Saccharomyces cerevisiae S288C: one gene and its partner. The protein of the gene in region 2 purifies or fractionates together with the protein of the main gene of each other region. This does not show direct contact. Each region holds a gene or a part of one and is shown on either strand. Other genes may lie near its edges.

Evidence for each region.
Region 1: the proteins of SOL2 (region 2) and ADE16 purify together in Saccharomyces cerevisiae (affinity purification with mass spectrometry; 2 studies listed by BioGRID). This does not show direct contact.

The regions. Positions count from the first base shown.
Region 1 is NC_001144.5:196,649-203,219, reverse strand, and holds ADE16 (bifunctional phosphoribosylaminoimidazolecarboxamide formyltransferase/IMP cyclohydrolase ADE16), read left to right. Parts: upstream 1-1,904; coding exon 1,905-3,680; downstream 3,681-6,571. Other genes in the region: 60S ribosomal protein eL15 RPL15A, read left to right, coding at 630-1,244; aspartate transaminase AAT2, read left to right, coding at 5,135-6,391.
Region 2 is NC_001135.5:240,553-248,656, reverse strand, and holds SOL2 (Sol2p), read right to left. Parts: upstream 1,695-8,104; coding exon 747-1,694; downstream 1-746. Other genes in the region: cystinosin-like protein ERS1, read left to right, coding at 1-624; mitogen-activated protein kinase kinase kinase SSK22, read left to right, coding at 2,074-6,069; RSA4 (Rsa4p), read left to right, coding at 6,305-7,852. UniProt on the Saccharomyces cerevisiae protein: May be involved in regulation of tRNA subcellular distribution.

The DNA of each region.
Region 1 (6,571 bases), on a different chromosome or scaffold from region 2:
TAATTTGTATTCAAGATATTCTTATCAAAGCACTTATTTTTTCATTATATTTCTATATTGATTTAAGGACGGTACGCTATTTTCTTTGTACCTTTTACTATGCATAAAAAAAGGGGAAGTGTTTAACAATCGACACTTACTTAATATGTTTTGCCGCCCTTCATAAGAGGGTGTTTCTAAAATTTATTGGGCAAGAATGAGATGGACTCGCACCCTACATGACGTTTAAATATTTAGTGTTAAGGTTCAGAACATGCACCAGGTGCGACATGTGTTGCGATTATCATGACAATGTCTCTATCCGAGATGCATTTGTAGTATCAATTGATGCGTATTATGACATGATTTACATAGCATACATCGTCAAACATGATATTATATTCTTTTTTTGATAAATGTACGGATTTAAAGCTGTCGAATATATTTTCTGAAATTTCTTGGAGCTGACGCAAAATTTTCAAAGGTGCTAAAATTTTTCAAGATTTCTCACTTTTGCTTGGTAACAAAGAATGATGGCATTGCATTTTTACCACCGGTACATTTAACTGCTATTTCTCACGTTTCTTTCCCTATCCTTAAGTAATTCTTTTACAATCTAAGAAAACCACGATCAAACAAATAAATCAGCAATGGGTGCCTACAAATATTTGGAAGAATTGCAAAGAAAGAAGCAATCTGATGTTTTGAGATTCTTGCAAAGAGTCAGAGTCTGGGAATACAGACAAAAGAATGTCATTCACAGAGCCGCTAGACCAACTAGACCAGACAAGGCTAGAAGATTGGGTTACAAAGCTAAGCAAGGTTTCGTTATCTACCGTGTCAGAGTTAGACGTGGTAACAGAAAGAGACCTGTTCCAAAGGGTGCTACTTACGGTAAGCCAACTAACCAAGGTGTCAATGAATTGAAATACCAAAGATCCTTGAGAGCTACCGCTGAAGAAAGAGTTGGTCGTCGTGCCGCTAACTTGAGAGTCTTGAACTCCTACTGGGTTAACCAAGATTCTACTTACAAGTACTTCGAAGTTATCTTGGTCGACCCTCAACACAAGGCTATCAGAAGAGATGCTCGTTACAACTGGATCTGTGACCCAGTTCACAAGCACCGTGAAGCTAGAGGTTTGACTGCCACTGGTAAGAAATCCAGAGGTATCAACAAGGGTCACAAATTCAACAACACCAAGGCTGGTAGAAGAAAGACCTGGAAGAGACAAAACACTTTGTCCTTGTGGAGATACAGAAAATAAGCTGGTTGATGGAAAATATAATTTTATTGGGCAAACTTTTGTTTATCTGATGTGTTTTATACTATTATCTTTTTAATTAATGATTCTATATACAAACCTGTATATTTTTTCTTTAACCAATTTTTTTTTTTATAGACCTAGAGCTGTACTTTTATTCTGCTATCAAGCAAACCCCTACCCCCTCTTCTCAATCCTCCCCTCAGGCAGAACTTATCTACCTGTATCAAGGAGCGGACGAGGGAGTCCTAATTGTTCTACGTATACCAATGCTAGCAGCTTACATAGGTGGTGGCACTACCATAATACTTATATATAATATCTTTACGCTCAAGTAAATTTCTCCGCCGCATAAATTAACACCATGTTCTTTTTAGTCGCACCTTATTTTCTTGTATTTTTTTTCTTTCCTTTTCTTCCCGTTTTTCCTTATTAGAGCCATTAGATAAAACTCAAGAAAAGCAAAAGAGAGGGCTATTTCCACTTTAAGAATAAGCCTTAATAATTGGCAAATAGATCGTCCTTTTTTCCAGTTTTCAGCATTTGTGTTTTTTTCTTGCTCTTTTTAGCGATTAGATAACATTCAAGATCTAATCAATACCCCATTCCAAACAAAGAATCCAAATATACCATAAATAGGGACAAAAAACAAAAGAGCTAAAAATGGGCAAATATACCAAGACTGCGATCTTGTCAGTTTATGATAAGACAGGTTTATTAGACTTAGCCAAGGGATTGGTAGAGAACAATGTTCGTATCCTAGCATCCGGTGGTACGGCCAACATGGTCAGAGAAGCTGGTTTTCCGGTCGACGATGTTTCTTCAATTACGCATGCACCAGAAATGCTAGGGGGTAGAGTCAAGACTCTTCACCCTGCTGTGCATGCAGGTATTCTTGCCAGAAATTTAGAGGGCGATGAAAAAGATTTAAAAGAGCAGCACATTGATAAGGTGGATTTTGTTGTATGTAATCTATATCCGTTCAAAGAAACTGTGGCTAAAATTGGTGTTACAGTTCAAGAAGCTGTAGAGGAGATCGACATTGGCGGTGTGACTTTGTTGAGAGCAGCCGCAAAGAACCATTCCAGAGTGACTATTCTTTCAGACCCTAATGACTATTCTATCTTTCTGCAAGACCTGTCTAAGGACGGTGAAATTTCTCAGGATTTAAGAAATAGATTTGCACTTAAGGCGTTTGAACATACGGCCGATTATGATGCGGCCATTTCTGACTTTTTCAGGAAACAGTACTCCGAAGGGAAAGCCCAATTACCGCTAAGATATGGTTGTAATCCCCACCAAAGACCTGCACAAGCTTATATCACTCAGCAGGAGGAGTTGCCCTTCAAAGTGCTCTGCGGTACACCAGGATATATAAATCTTTTGGATGCCTTGAACTCATGGCCCTTAGTGAAAGAGTTATCTGCATCATTGAACTTGCCTGCGGCAGCATCGTTCAAGCACGTTTCTCCAGCAGGTGCTGCTGTGGGACTTCCATTATCCGATGTGGAAAGACAAGTTTATTTTGTGAATGATATGGAGGATTTATCACCATTGGCATGCGCATACGCTAGGGCCCGTGGTGCAGATAGGATGTCATCCTTTGGTGATTTCATTGCATTGTCCAATATTGTAGATGTCGCCACTGCAAAAATCATCTCTAAAGAAGTTTCCGATGGTGTTATTGCTCCAGGGTATGAACCAGAGGCATTGAATATACTATCTAAGAAGAAAAACGGAAAATACTGTATTTTACAAATCGATCCAAACTATGTTCCTGGCCAAATGGAATCCCGAGAGGTTTTTGGCGTAACGTTACAACAAAAGAGAAACGATGCGATCATAAACCAATCCACTTTCAAAGAAATTGTCTCCAAAAACAAAGCACTTACCGAGCAAGCCGTTATCGATCTAACTGTTGCTACGCTGGTTTTAAAATACACACAATCAAATTCTGTTTGCTACGCAAAGAATGGTATGGTTGTGGGGCTTGGGGCCGGCCAACAATCGCGTATACACTGTACCAGATTAGCTGGTGACAAGACGGACAACTGGTGGTTGAGACAACATCCAAAGGTTTTGAACATGAAGTGGGCCAAGGGAATTAAGAGAGCGGACAAGTCGAATGCGATTGATCTTTTTGTTACAGGGCAAAGAATAGAAGGCCCGGAAAAGGTGGATTACGAAAGCAAATTTGAAGAAGTCCCTGAACCTTTCACCAAAGAAGAAAGACTAGAATGGTTAAGCAAATTAAACAATGTATCGTTATCATCCGATGCGTTCTTTCCCTTCCCAGACAACGTTTATAGAGCTGTGCAGTCTGGTGTAAAGTTCATCACGGCTCCTTCGGGGTCTGTCATGGACAAAGTTGTCTTCCAAGCGGCGGATTCATTTGATATCGTCTACGTGGAGAACCCAATTCGTTTATTCCACCACTAAGTAGGGTACATTTTATGAGAAGAACAGAAACAACATATATAGCTGAATACAAGTGTATATACGTAAACGTATACGATTTACTTAATTTTCTACGTCAAAGGCCTTCCTCTTCTGCGAGAGGACAAGATGTGAATATGTGAATTATAGAGATGTCTGCAGTATGGTTTTACCCAAATGATCATGGACCAACTAGGGTCATTTCATAGTGTTTAGGAATATACTGCGGTAGGACGAACAACAAAGATGACCGAACTCAGATTTTCCCACTCTGCACCCACATCCCGCAATCTCTTCGTAATAAGGAGAAAGCTGGCCATAGGACAAAGTATAGGAAAAGAGCTCAAGATCATGCGTCCTACTTAATCTAAGTTAAACTCGTCAACGGGGCCACTTCTGTCTCATCCATATATATCATGGCAACAGCCCCCGAACCCCATATACACATCGTTAAGGCAACAGCACCCGATGCAACGACTAAGAGAAACTGCTCGTAGTCTGACGACTCAAAACTCTGATCACGAAGATCAGAGGAGAAGTCAGGAGCTGCATCTCTTATGTGATGCCGTTGTCCGAAGCGCCATCTAGATGAATACGTGAGGCCCATTGGAGGCTCCTTGAGACTCTGCCTCTCGAGCGTTGAAAAACGCTAGCCCAGTGTTTTAGAGAAGCTAAGCAGCAATAGCAAGAAATGCACACACACGTATGCGAGTGACTTCCCTTCCCTGTATAGTACCGAACTAGCACGAGACTATGGTTACTTTTTTTTTTACAAATAAGCAAAGAGAAACTTGAATGGGAAAAGAAGTTTACCATAGAAGTTAAATGCACGACGATGAGAGTTTCAAAGTGTTTATATAGGCGAGAGAATCTAAAGGAAAATTTTTCTTGAAATAAAAAAGCACTGTCAGGGTAACAATGTTAATAATAGCCGCTGATGGTTTAGGGTTACTACGCTAGAAGGACATAAAATCATTATTTACAAGAAACATACAAGGAGGCAATTTTTTAAACTCTCAATGTAGGATATTTCATTTAACTGCACTAGTGGCATCTATTATACACAATTACTCCAGTAGCTGCCACAAAGCACCCAAAGATAAGAATAATTACGGAAAATGAAATTTTTACTTTGAATATGATGATATGGGCATTGCAGGTTTGTAGTAAGAGCAATTTACAGGAATTCCTGACGGAATATTAATGTTTTCTTACTGTTTAATGCGATGTACATATTGTCAATACTAATGGTCACCACTGGAAATGGCTATCTTTCGTCTTCGTGAATAACGATCGCCGAGAGTCGGACCGAGTGAGTCAGCGTGATCGGCCTCATTTACCTTGTCGCCTTGCACGTCGGTATATAAACGTATGTGGATACTTTAAGAAGGGAAAGCGCAACCGTCCAAATTCTAATGAACAAAAGAACACAGGAATACAAGAACACAAGAGCGATAATGTCTGCCACTCTGTTCAATAACATCGAATTGCTGCCCCCTGATGCCCTTTTTGGTATTAAGCAAAGGTACGGGCAAGATCAACGTGCTACCAAGGTCGACTTGGGTATCGGGGCCTACAGAGACGACAACGGTAAACCATGGGTCTTGCCAAGTGTTAAAGCCGCCGAAAAGCTAATTCATAACGACAGCTCCTACAACCATGAATACCTCGGTATTACCGGTCTGCCAAGTTTGACATCTAACGCCGCCAAGATCATCTTCGGTACGCAATCCGATGCCTTTCAGGAAGACAGAGTAATCTCAGTACAATCACTGTCTGGTACGGGTGCTCTTCATATATCTGCGAAGTTTTTTTCAAAATTCTTCCCAGATAAACTGGTCTATTTGTCTAAGCCTACTTGGGCCAACCACATGGCCATTTTTGAGAATCAAGGCTTGAAAACGGCGACTTACCCTTACTGGGCCAACGAAACTAAGTCTTTGGACCTAAACGGCTTTCTAAATGCTATTCAAAAAGCTCCAGAGGGCTCCATTTTCGTTCTGCACTCTTGCGCCCATAACCCAACTGGTCTGGACCCTACTAGTGAACAATGGGTTCAAATCGTTGATGCTATCGCCTCAAAGAACCACATCGCCTTATTTGACACCGCCTACCAAGGGTTTGCCACTGGAGATTTGGACAAGGATGCCTATGCTGTGCGTCTAGGTGTGGAGAAGCTTTCAACGGTCTCTCCCGTCTTTGTCTGTCAGTCCTTTGCCAAGAACGCCGGTATGTACGGTGAGCGTGTAGGTTGTTTCCATCTAGCACTTACAAAACAAGCTCAAAACAAAACTATAAAGCCTGCTGTTACATCTCAATTGGCCAAAATCATTCGTAGTGAAGTGTCCAACCCACCCGCCTACGGCGCTAAGATTGTCGCTAAACTGTTGGAAACGCCAGAATTAACGGAACAGTGGCACAAGGATATGGTTACCATGTCCTCCAGAATTACGAAAATGAGGCACGCATTAAGAGACCATTTAGTCAAGTTGGGCACTCCTGGCAACTGGGATCATATAGTAAATCAATGCGGGATGTTCTCCTTTACAGGATTGACTCCTCAAATGGTTAAACGACTTGAAGAAACCCACGCAGTTTACTTGGTTGCCTCAGGTAGAGCTTCTATTGCTGGATTGAATCAAGGAAACGTGGAATACGTGGCTAAAGCCATTGATGAAGTGGTGCGCTTCTATACTATTGAAGCTAAATTGTAATGATTAAATAATACTTATACTTACCTATTACACTCTTCATATTTTTTTTAATGTAAAGAAAGTAAAAAAAAAAAAAAATAAAAAAAAGAGAAATGCTCTTTCTTTACCTTCACAGGTGTATTATTATGTTGTTGTAATATCCGGGTAGGTTTATTGATCGAGGCGAGGCGAAAGGGCATA
Region 2 (8,104 bases):
TCCATATTTTTGCAATTGTACTGCTGGAAAATGACGGGTGATGAGTCTGACTTGGGCAGGCCCAAGTTGACGCAATTTGATTTCTGGTATTGCCTGCATGGGTGCTTGATGAATGTTGTCTTATTGACCCAGGTGGTAGCTGGAGCGAGAATCTGGCGATTTCCAGGTAAAGGTCACCGCAAGATGAATCCATGGTACCTAAGGATTTTACTCGCATCACTGGCCATTTTTTCACTGCTAACCGTACAATTTATGTACTCCAACTACTGGTACGATTGGCATAACTCAAGAACTCTGGCGTATTGCAACAATTTGTTTTTACTCAAAATATCGATGTCACTAATCAAGTACATCCCACAAGTGACGCATAACTCGACAAGAAAATCTATGGATTGTTTCCCCATTCAGGGTGTGTTTCTAGATGTCACTGGCGGTATCGCCTCGCTGCTCCAATTGATTTGGCAGTTGTCTAACGATCAAGGTTTCAGTCTGGATACGTTCGTGACAAATTTTGGAAAAGTGGGACTGTCAATGGTAACTTTAATATTCAACTTCATCTTTATCATGCAGTGGTTTGTATATCGATCTCGAGGCCATGATCTGGCGTCAGAGTACCCGCTGTAGCACACAAGGAGAAATCTGCATAATTACGCATATATATATATATATATATATACATAAATATACATAAATATATGTATGTATGTATGTATGTGTGTATGTATGTATGTACACACATGCATGGTTTAAATAGACAAACCTTGGTGGAATTTATACTTTTTTTTGGTGACGAGGACGTCCGTAAGAGCATCGTCGTCAACAAACCATGATACACGACCAGCAGCACCTTCGTTGACAATACTGCTAGGTAGGCCCTTTTCAGGCCTTTCCATAATGGTCTTGATGATGGGCGCCTTGGTTGCACCTTCGACAACGAAAGTAACCCTGTGAGAATGGCAGATTACAGGTATAGTCAGCGAAATTCTGGTCGAGGGCCCACTAGGAGCGTTCTCCACGGGCACCACCCATGCAAGTTTCTCACGTAGATTGTCCTGGAAGTTAGGGAAGAGTGATGCGATATGACCATCGGGGGCACAACCAAGCAGGAACAAGTCGAACATCGGAAGTTTGACGGAATCTCTACCGGCAAACCCGCGGATTAGCACCTTTTCATAGTTATCAGCGCATTCTTGCGGGTCGTCAATCAATGACTCGTCAATGTGGTACACCTTCGGAGTTCCATACTTCGCCGTGTCTATCAGGTCCAAAATCTTCCTTTTGGCGCATCCATAATTGCTTTCATTCGAGCTGAAGGGTACAAGTCTCTCGTCTGCAAAGTAAATGTCCCAGTCTCCCCACCGTACATCGTCTCGTTTTAGCAGACCTTCGTGTAGCACTTCGATCAATGACCCACCGGAGAGAGCAATCTTGAACCGTTTCTCCTTTTTGGGCTTACTGCTACCACTGCCACTACCACTGCTACCACTTTTCCCTTCCGCGGCAGATGCTGTGCTTTTGCAAGAGGCCTCTCTCGTCATATCCAGTGCATTCATGCTGATGTTGGGAACAGAGTGTTTCCTCTCGTTCTTTGGAGCCAATGCACCGTCTTGCGCGTGGACTACATGGTCAGCTACGGCCTCTGCCACGTCTGAAAACTCGTGAAACGCGAATATCTTGGGTACCGTCGTAGTCATATTGTCTTGCTGCAAATTGCTTTCTGTTCTAGTCCATACCTACACTGGATATGACGATGATGATGCCACTATTATCATTGAAATTTGTTAGGAAAACCCCTGTAGCGCCCGCCCTATTTAAACCTAATTTCCCCAGGATGTCTAATCACATTTTCTTCATTTTTTGGAAACTAGACCTTAACATATTTCGTATTAACCCTATGTCTCGAATTGAAAATTTCGCGGGTCTTTTCTCTTGCCTTGGTACCTTATGTAAAAAAGCGATGCCAGGAACAATAGGATAAAAATAGCAGCAACAACATACGATAAGAATTGAGGATGCTAAGCTAATGTTGTTTTACTTAGGGTGGCTATAAAAGGTAGTTCCTTGTAGGTGAAAATGATGATGGATATACTGAATACACAGCAACAAAAAGCGGCTGAAGGCGGGAGAGTTCTGGCTCCTCATACCATCTCAAGTAAGCTCGTGAAGAGATTATCAAGTCATTCCAGCCATAAACTATCAAGATCTGATTTGAAAGCATTGGGTGGCTCGGAAACAATAAGCGACGGCCCCAGTCAGCTGACTTTTAAGGACCGATACGTTTTCAATGAATCGCTATACTTGAAAAAGCTAAAAAAGACCGCTTTAGATGACTACTACACGAGGGGCATAAAACTCACTAACCGCTACGAGGAAGACGACGGTGATGACGAAATTATTCGGTTGTCTAATGGCGACAGAATTGATGAAGACCTGCACTCAGGTGTCAAGTTTTTCTCCACTACACCTTATTGCAGGAAAATGAGGTCAGACAGTGATGAACTAGCTTGGAATGAAATTGCGACCGAACGGTTCAAATGGCAGTCAATGCTGGCCAGAGTGCTGAAGGGAGATATTGTTAAAGGTGAAAAGACGAGGATTGCTAACCAAGTCAAGAAACCAGGGTTAAATAAGGAGCTCTCAGATGAGATATGGCTCGAATTGAAGGCATGGCTGAATGGGAGGACCATGCAAGAGATGGAACAGTCGCTTACATATTTAAGAGATAGTTCAGATTCCGTTTTTGAAGAGATAATGAAGTTTCAAATTCCACAGGGCAAGATATTGAGCCTGGATGCACTGGAGGCCATCTTACAAGACCTCATGAACAGATATCACAGCGTTGTCTCTTATTGGCCTAACTTGAAAAAAATGTATAAGGATAAACCAATCACCAATACTGCAGAATTTACCGCTAGAATAGACGTAATGAATTCTTGGCTGAACTTTAAAACGAACTTAACGTTGAGGAGGCAAGAGTTGGACGACTGGATAAACCGTTTCTCACCGATAAGTAGTTCGGATAATTGCCAAGAGGATTTTGATGGTGTGCCCCAATGGAACTGCAAAATGAAGATTCTTGCAGAACAATTGATGAAGGAAAAGAACATCGAGTCTATATTCCAAAAAAAAATTTTCTATCCGCTATCACCTTGGATGTTCAAACTGAAACTACATTTTATAGTCTACAGAGAAACTTTGACAAAGATGAACATAAAATATCCTTATGAAAGGTTAAGATCACTACTGGCGTTCCCCGTCTATTTAATCAAAGAAGTTATTTTGACTAGATTGTCATATGCACGAAAGCTTAAAAATCCAACAATGATGATGATCGATCAAATGATCGATGATTTTAACGCTTTTATTCGACTTTCTGTGCAATTGAAGTACACACTGACAAAATATTGCTCCAATTTGCCGTTCGATGTGGATTTTGACCCGACGTTCGAAAATACTGTAATAGAAGCCATTCGTTATTTATTTTTTCTGTTGAATTTAAAGTTGATTGATTCCAGTAAACAAAATTTCAAAGCACCCGATCTACTCTTGAAATACTGGGATCACCTAAAAAACACCGGTCACTATATTAACGGTGCAGAAACCGTGATTCCAAATGAATTTCTCAAGTTAACTTTGAGACTCGTACATAAATTGCAATTCTATCTTTTGAAACAACAAAACTTCCCACCAACATTTGCTAACGCTTCAGAAGCAGAAAAATGGCTAAGTTCCATTTTCGAAAATTTGGGTGCCATGAAAAGAAAGCTGAACAGGTTCAGCAATATTCTAGTCAAGGCGTTCCAAAATTCTGCTGTTTATCAGATTAATCATAATGCACAACTTGTTAAAAAGTTAAAAGATGCTCACTATTTTTTGGTATACTCCGGTAACACTTTTGAGTCTAGTGGTGTATATATGTTTGCTGCTCCTGAATTATTAGGTTGTGACAATGATACCATCTTAAGAATTTTGCGAAATAAATCCATTGGCTGTGATTTGGTCCCAAAGCTTGACATTGGAAATAATTTGAATGTGTATGATATAACAACAAAAGAAACAGATTTGAACATTCTAGTATCGAAAGGGGAGGATTCCAAAGGAATTCCTTACTACCGAGTAGTAGCAAATTCGTCAAGTGATTTGGACAGGCATGCTCATCAGTCCAAAAAGAAGAATTTTTCAACAGACCCTTTTGATCAGCACCTTGATGAAAAGAACAATGAAGTTTTTGAATTGGAAGTTGCTTTGAGCTCATTGGGTGCACTAGTTGTACTATATCCTGGAGAGCCAGTAGTTTGGGATGGACCAGTATATAAGCTTCCAGGTAACAACCTTTTTGCATCCAACGAAATGGATTTAGGGAAAATTGGTAACCCAAATACGTTGATTTTACTCAATCAAGGTTCTAATTATGCACTGACTTATCAAATCGACAAGTTTAATCAAACGGTAGGTGATTCTGTTTCATTCATAGAGAAACGTTGTTCACTCAATTCAATTGAATCCTCCCTACAAAAAATCAATAAGGCATATTACAAACTTACTTATACAGTATTGAACAACTACAAAGGAATTCTAGGTAGCTTTATGAAGCAATGTCCGGGAAATGAGTTGTTAAATTCGATATTCATGTTTGGAAGGGATTTTGGAAGAAGTTTCCTTAAATATAACGCCTTTAGCTCAAAGAGGAAGTACGTTATCATCTTTCTGATGGTTAAATTAGGAATGAACTGGTTGAAATTCCTTGTTGAAGAGTGTGATCCTACCGATCAGCGAACTTTCCGATGGTGCGTTCTTGCAATGGATTTTGCGATGCAGATGACTAGTGGTTATAATATCCTGGCGCTGAATGTAAAGCAATTTCAAGAACTGAAGGAGAGGGTATCAGTATGTATGTCATTATTAATTTCACATTTCGACGTTATGGGTGCACGAGCCACTGAAGCTGAAAATGGCATGCAACAGGCAAGATTGAATATTGATACTGAAGAGAATATTGATGAAGAGGCCACCCTAGAAATAAACAGCAGGTTGAGACTGGAAGCTATAAAGACGTTGGAAAAGACTATGAAGAGGAATCCCAGGCAAATGGGTAAGGTATTGGATGCTACAGATCAGGGAAACAAATACCTACTATCGCTAGCATCCTCATTATCGAATGTATCAATGAGGTGGCAAAAAAGAAGCTTCATTGGCGGTGGAACATTTGGACAGGTATACTCTGCAATTAATCTGGAAAACGGTGAAATCTTAGCTGTTAAGGAAATAAAGATACACGATACCACAACAATGAAGAAGATTTTTCCCCTGATTAAAGAAGAGATGACCGTATTGGAAATGTTAAACCATCCTAATATTGTCCAGTACTATGGTGTCGAAGTACATCGCGATAAAGTTAACATCTTCATGGAATACTGTGAGGGTGGTTCTTTAGCCTCGTTATTGGATCATGGAAGAATTGAAGATGAAATGGTAACACAAGTGTACACATTCGAACTATTAGAAGGTTTGGCATATTTGCACCAATCTGGCGTGGTGCATCGCGACATTAAACCGGAGAATATCTTGCTGGATTTCAATGGAATCATAAAATATGTGGATTTTGGTACGGCACGTACCGTTGTAGGATCTAGGACTAGAACTGTGCGGAACGCAGCCGTTCAAGATTTTGGAGTAGAAACAAAGTCCCTCAATGAAATGATGGGGACACCGATGTATATGGCTCCAGAGACTATTTCAGGCTCGGCAGTTAAGGGAAAACTTGGAGCGGACGATGTATGGGCATTAGGATGTGTTGTGCTAGAAATGGCCACAGGTAGACGACCTTGGTCTAACTTGGATAATGAATGGGCCATCATGTACCACGTTGCTGCAGGTCGAATACCGCAACTACCCAATAGAGACGAAATGACTGCAGCGGGAAGAGCCTTCTTGGAAAGGTGTTTGGTTCAAGACCCCACTATGAGGGCTACTGCTGTGGAACTACTGATAGACCCTTGGATGATACAAATCCGTGAAATAGCATTTGGCAACTCAGAGAAAGATCAAGTACCTATCCTAAGCTCATAGAGTGGTCAACGTCTAAAAATATGATATACTACGATATATAATGTAATGTAATTCAATAATGGTGATGAAGGCAAGATTTCATTTAGAGCTGTTACCCGAGAAACCGGTGAAAAATTTTAAAATGAAAAAAAAAAAAAAAATGCGATGAGCTTCAAAAAGAGTATCTTTAAAAGACATATATCACAAGATTTTTATATTTGTAACCTCGATAAACACACACTAACACAATATACAGATGTCCACCCTGATTCCTCCACCTTCTAAGAAACAAAAGAAAGAGGCTCAACTTCCCAGAGAAGTAGCTATTATTCCGAAAGATTTACCCAATGTTTCAATCAAGTTCCAAGCTTTAGATACTGGTGACAATGTAGGTGGCGCCCTGAGAGTTCCCGGTGCTATCTCCGAGAAACAGTTAGAAGAACTTTTAAATCAATTGAACGGTACTTCAGACGATCCAGTGCCATATACCTTCAGCTGTACAATTCAAGGTAAGAAGGCCAGTGACCCTGTGAAGACGATTGATATAACAGATAACCTATATTCTTCATTAATAAAACCAGGCTATAACAGTACAGAAGATCAGATCACGCTACTGTATACGCCAAGAGCAGTTTTCAAAGTCAAGCCGGTAACTAGAAGTTCATCAGCCATTGCAGGTCACGGTTCCACAATTTTGTGTTCTGCCTTCGCACCACATACGAGTTCTAGGATGGTAACCGGTGCAGGTGATAATACTGCAAGGATTTGGGACTGTGACACCCAAACGCCAATGCATACTCTAAAGGGTCACTACAATTGGGTTCTCTGCGTTTCCTGGTCCCCCGATGGAGAAGTAATTGCTACGGGATCCATGGACAATACCATAAGATTATGGGACCCAAAAAGCGGTCAGTGTCTAGGTGATGCTCTCAGAGGTCATTCCAAGTGGATCACTTCTTTAAGTTGGGAACCTATACATCTTGTGAAGCCGGGCTCCAAACCAAGATTAGCTTCATCTTCTAAGGATGGTACTATTAAGATTTGGGACACTGTGAGCAGAGTTTGCCAGTATACGATGAGTGGTCACACAAATTCAGTGTCTTGTGTCAAATGGGGCGGCCAAGGTCTATTGTATAGTGGCTCTCACGATAGAACCGTACGTGTATGGGACATCAATTCGCAGGGCAGATGTATCAACATTTTGAAGTCGCATGCGCACTGGGTTAATCACTTATCTTTATCTACAGATTACGCATTGCGCATTGGTGCATTCGATCATACAGGTAAGAAGCCTTCTACACCAGAAGAAGCCCAGAAAAAGGCATTGGAAAATTATGAAAAAATCTGTAAAAAGAATGGAAATTCAGAAGAAATGATGGTTACTGCAAGCGATGATTATACCATGTTTTTATGGAACCCACTAAAATCTACCAAGCCTATAGCAAGAATGACCGGTCACCAAAAATTAGTCAATCATGTGGCGTTCAGCCCTGATGGTAGGTATATTGTCTCAGCGTCTTTTGATAACTCTATCAAACTTTGGGACGGTAGAGATGGTAAGTTTATCTCCACATTTAGAGGGCATGTAGCCAGCGTATACCAGGTTGCGTGGTCATCGGACTGCCGACTACTGGTGTCATGTTCCAAAGATACCACGTTGAAAGTGTGGGATGTAAGAACTAGAAAACTTTCTGTTGACCTCCCTGGTCATAAAGACGAAGTTTATACCGTCGACTGGAGTGTCGACGGTAAAAGAGTGTGTAGTGGTGGGAAAGACAAGATGGTAAGATTGTGGACGCATTGAGTTATGTGCAAAGACAAGTAACATACATGCACATATAAATATTATATAACTGTGATATAGAACTGCATTTTTTTCTTTTTGAATATTAAATATGATGGTGTCGCAAGGTCGATCTATAATGGTCATCGCGTACGAATGGCTTGGTATGAATTTAAAATATGGTACTATAAGCAGTATAGCTCCAGCAAGAAGGAAAACCTTTTGAAAGAAGTGCCCGTTTACCTAAAGCAACTTACTCCAAGGTAGCGTGTG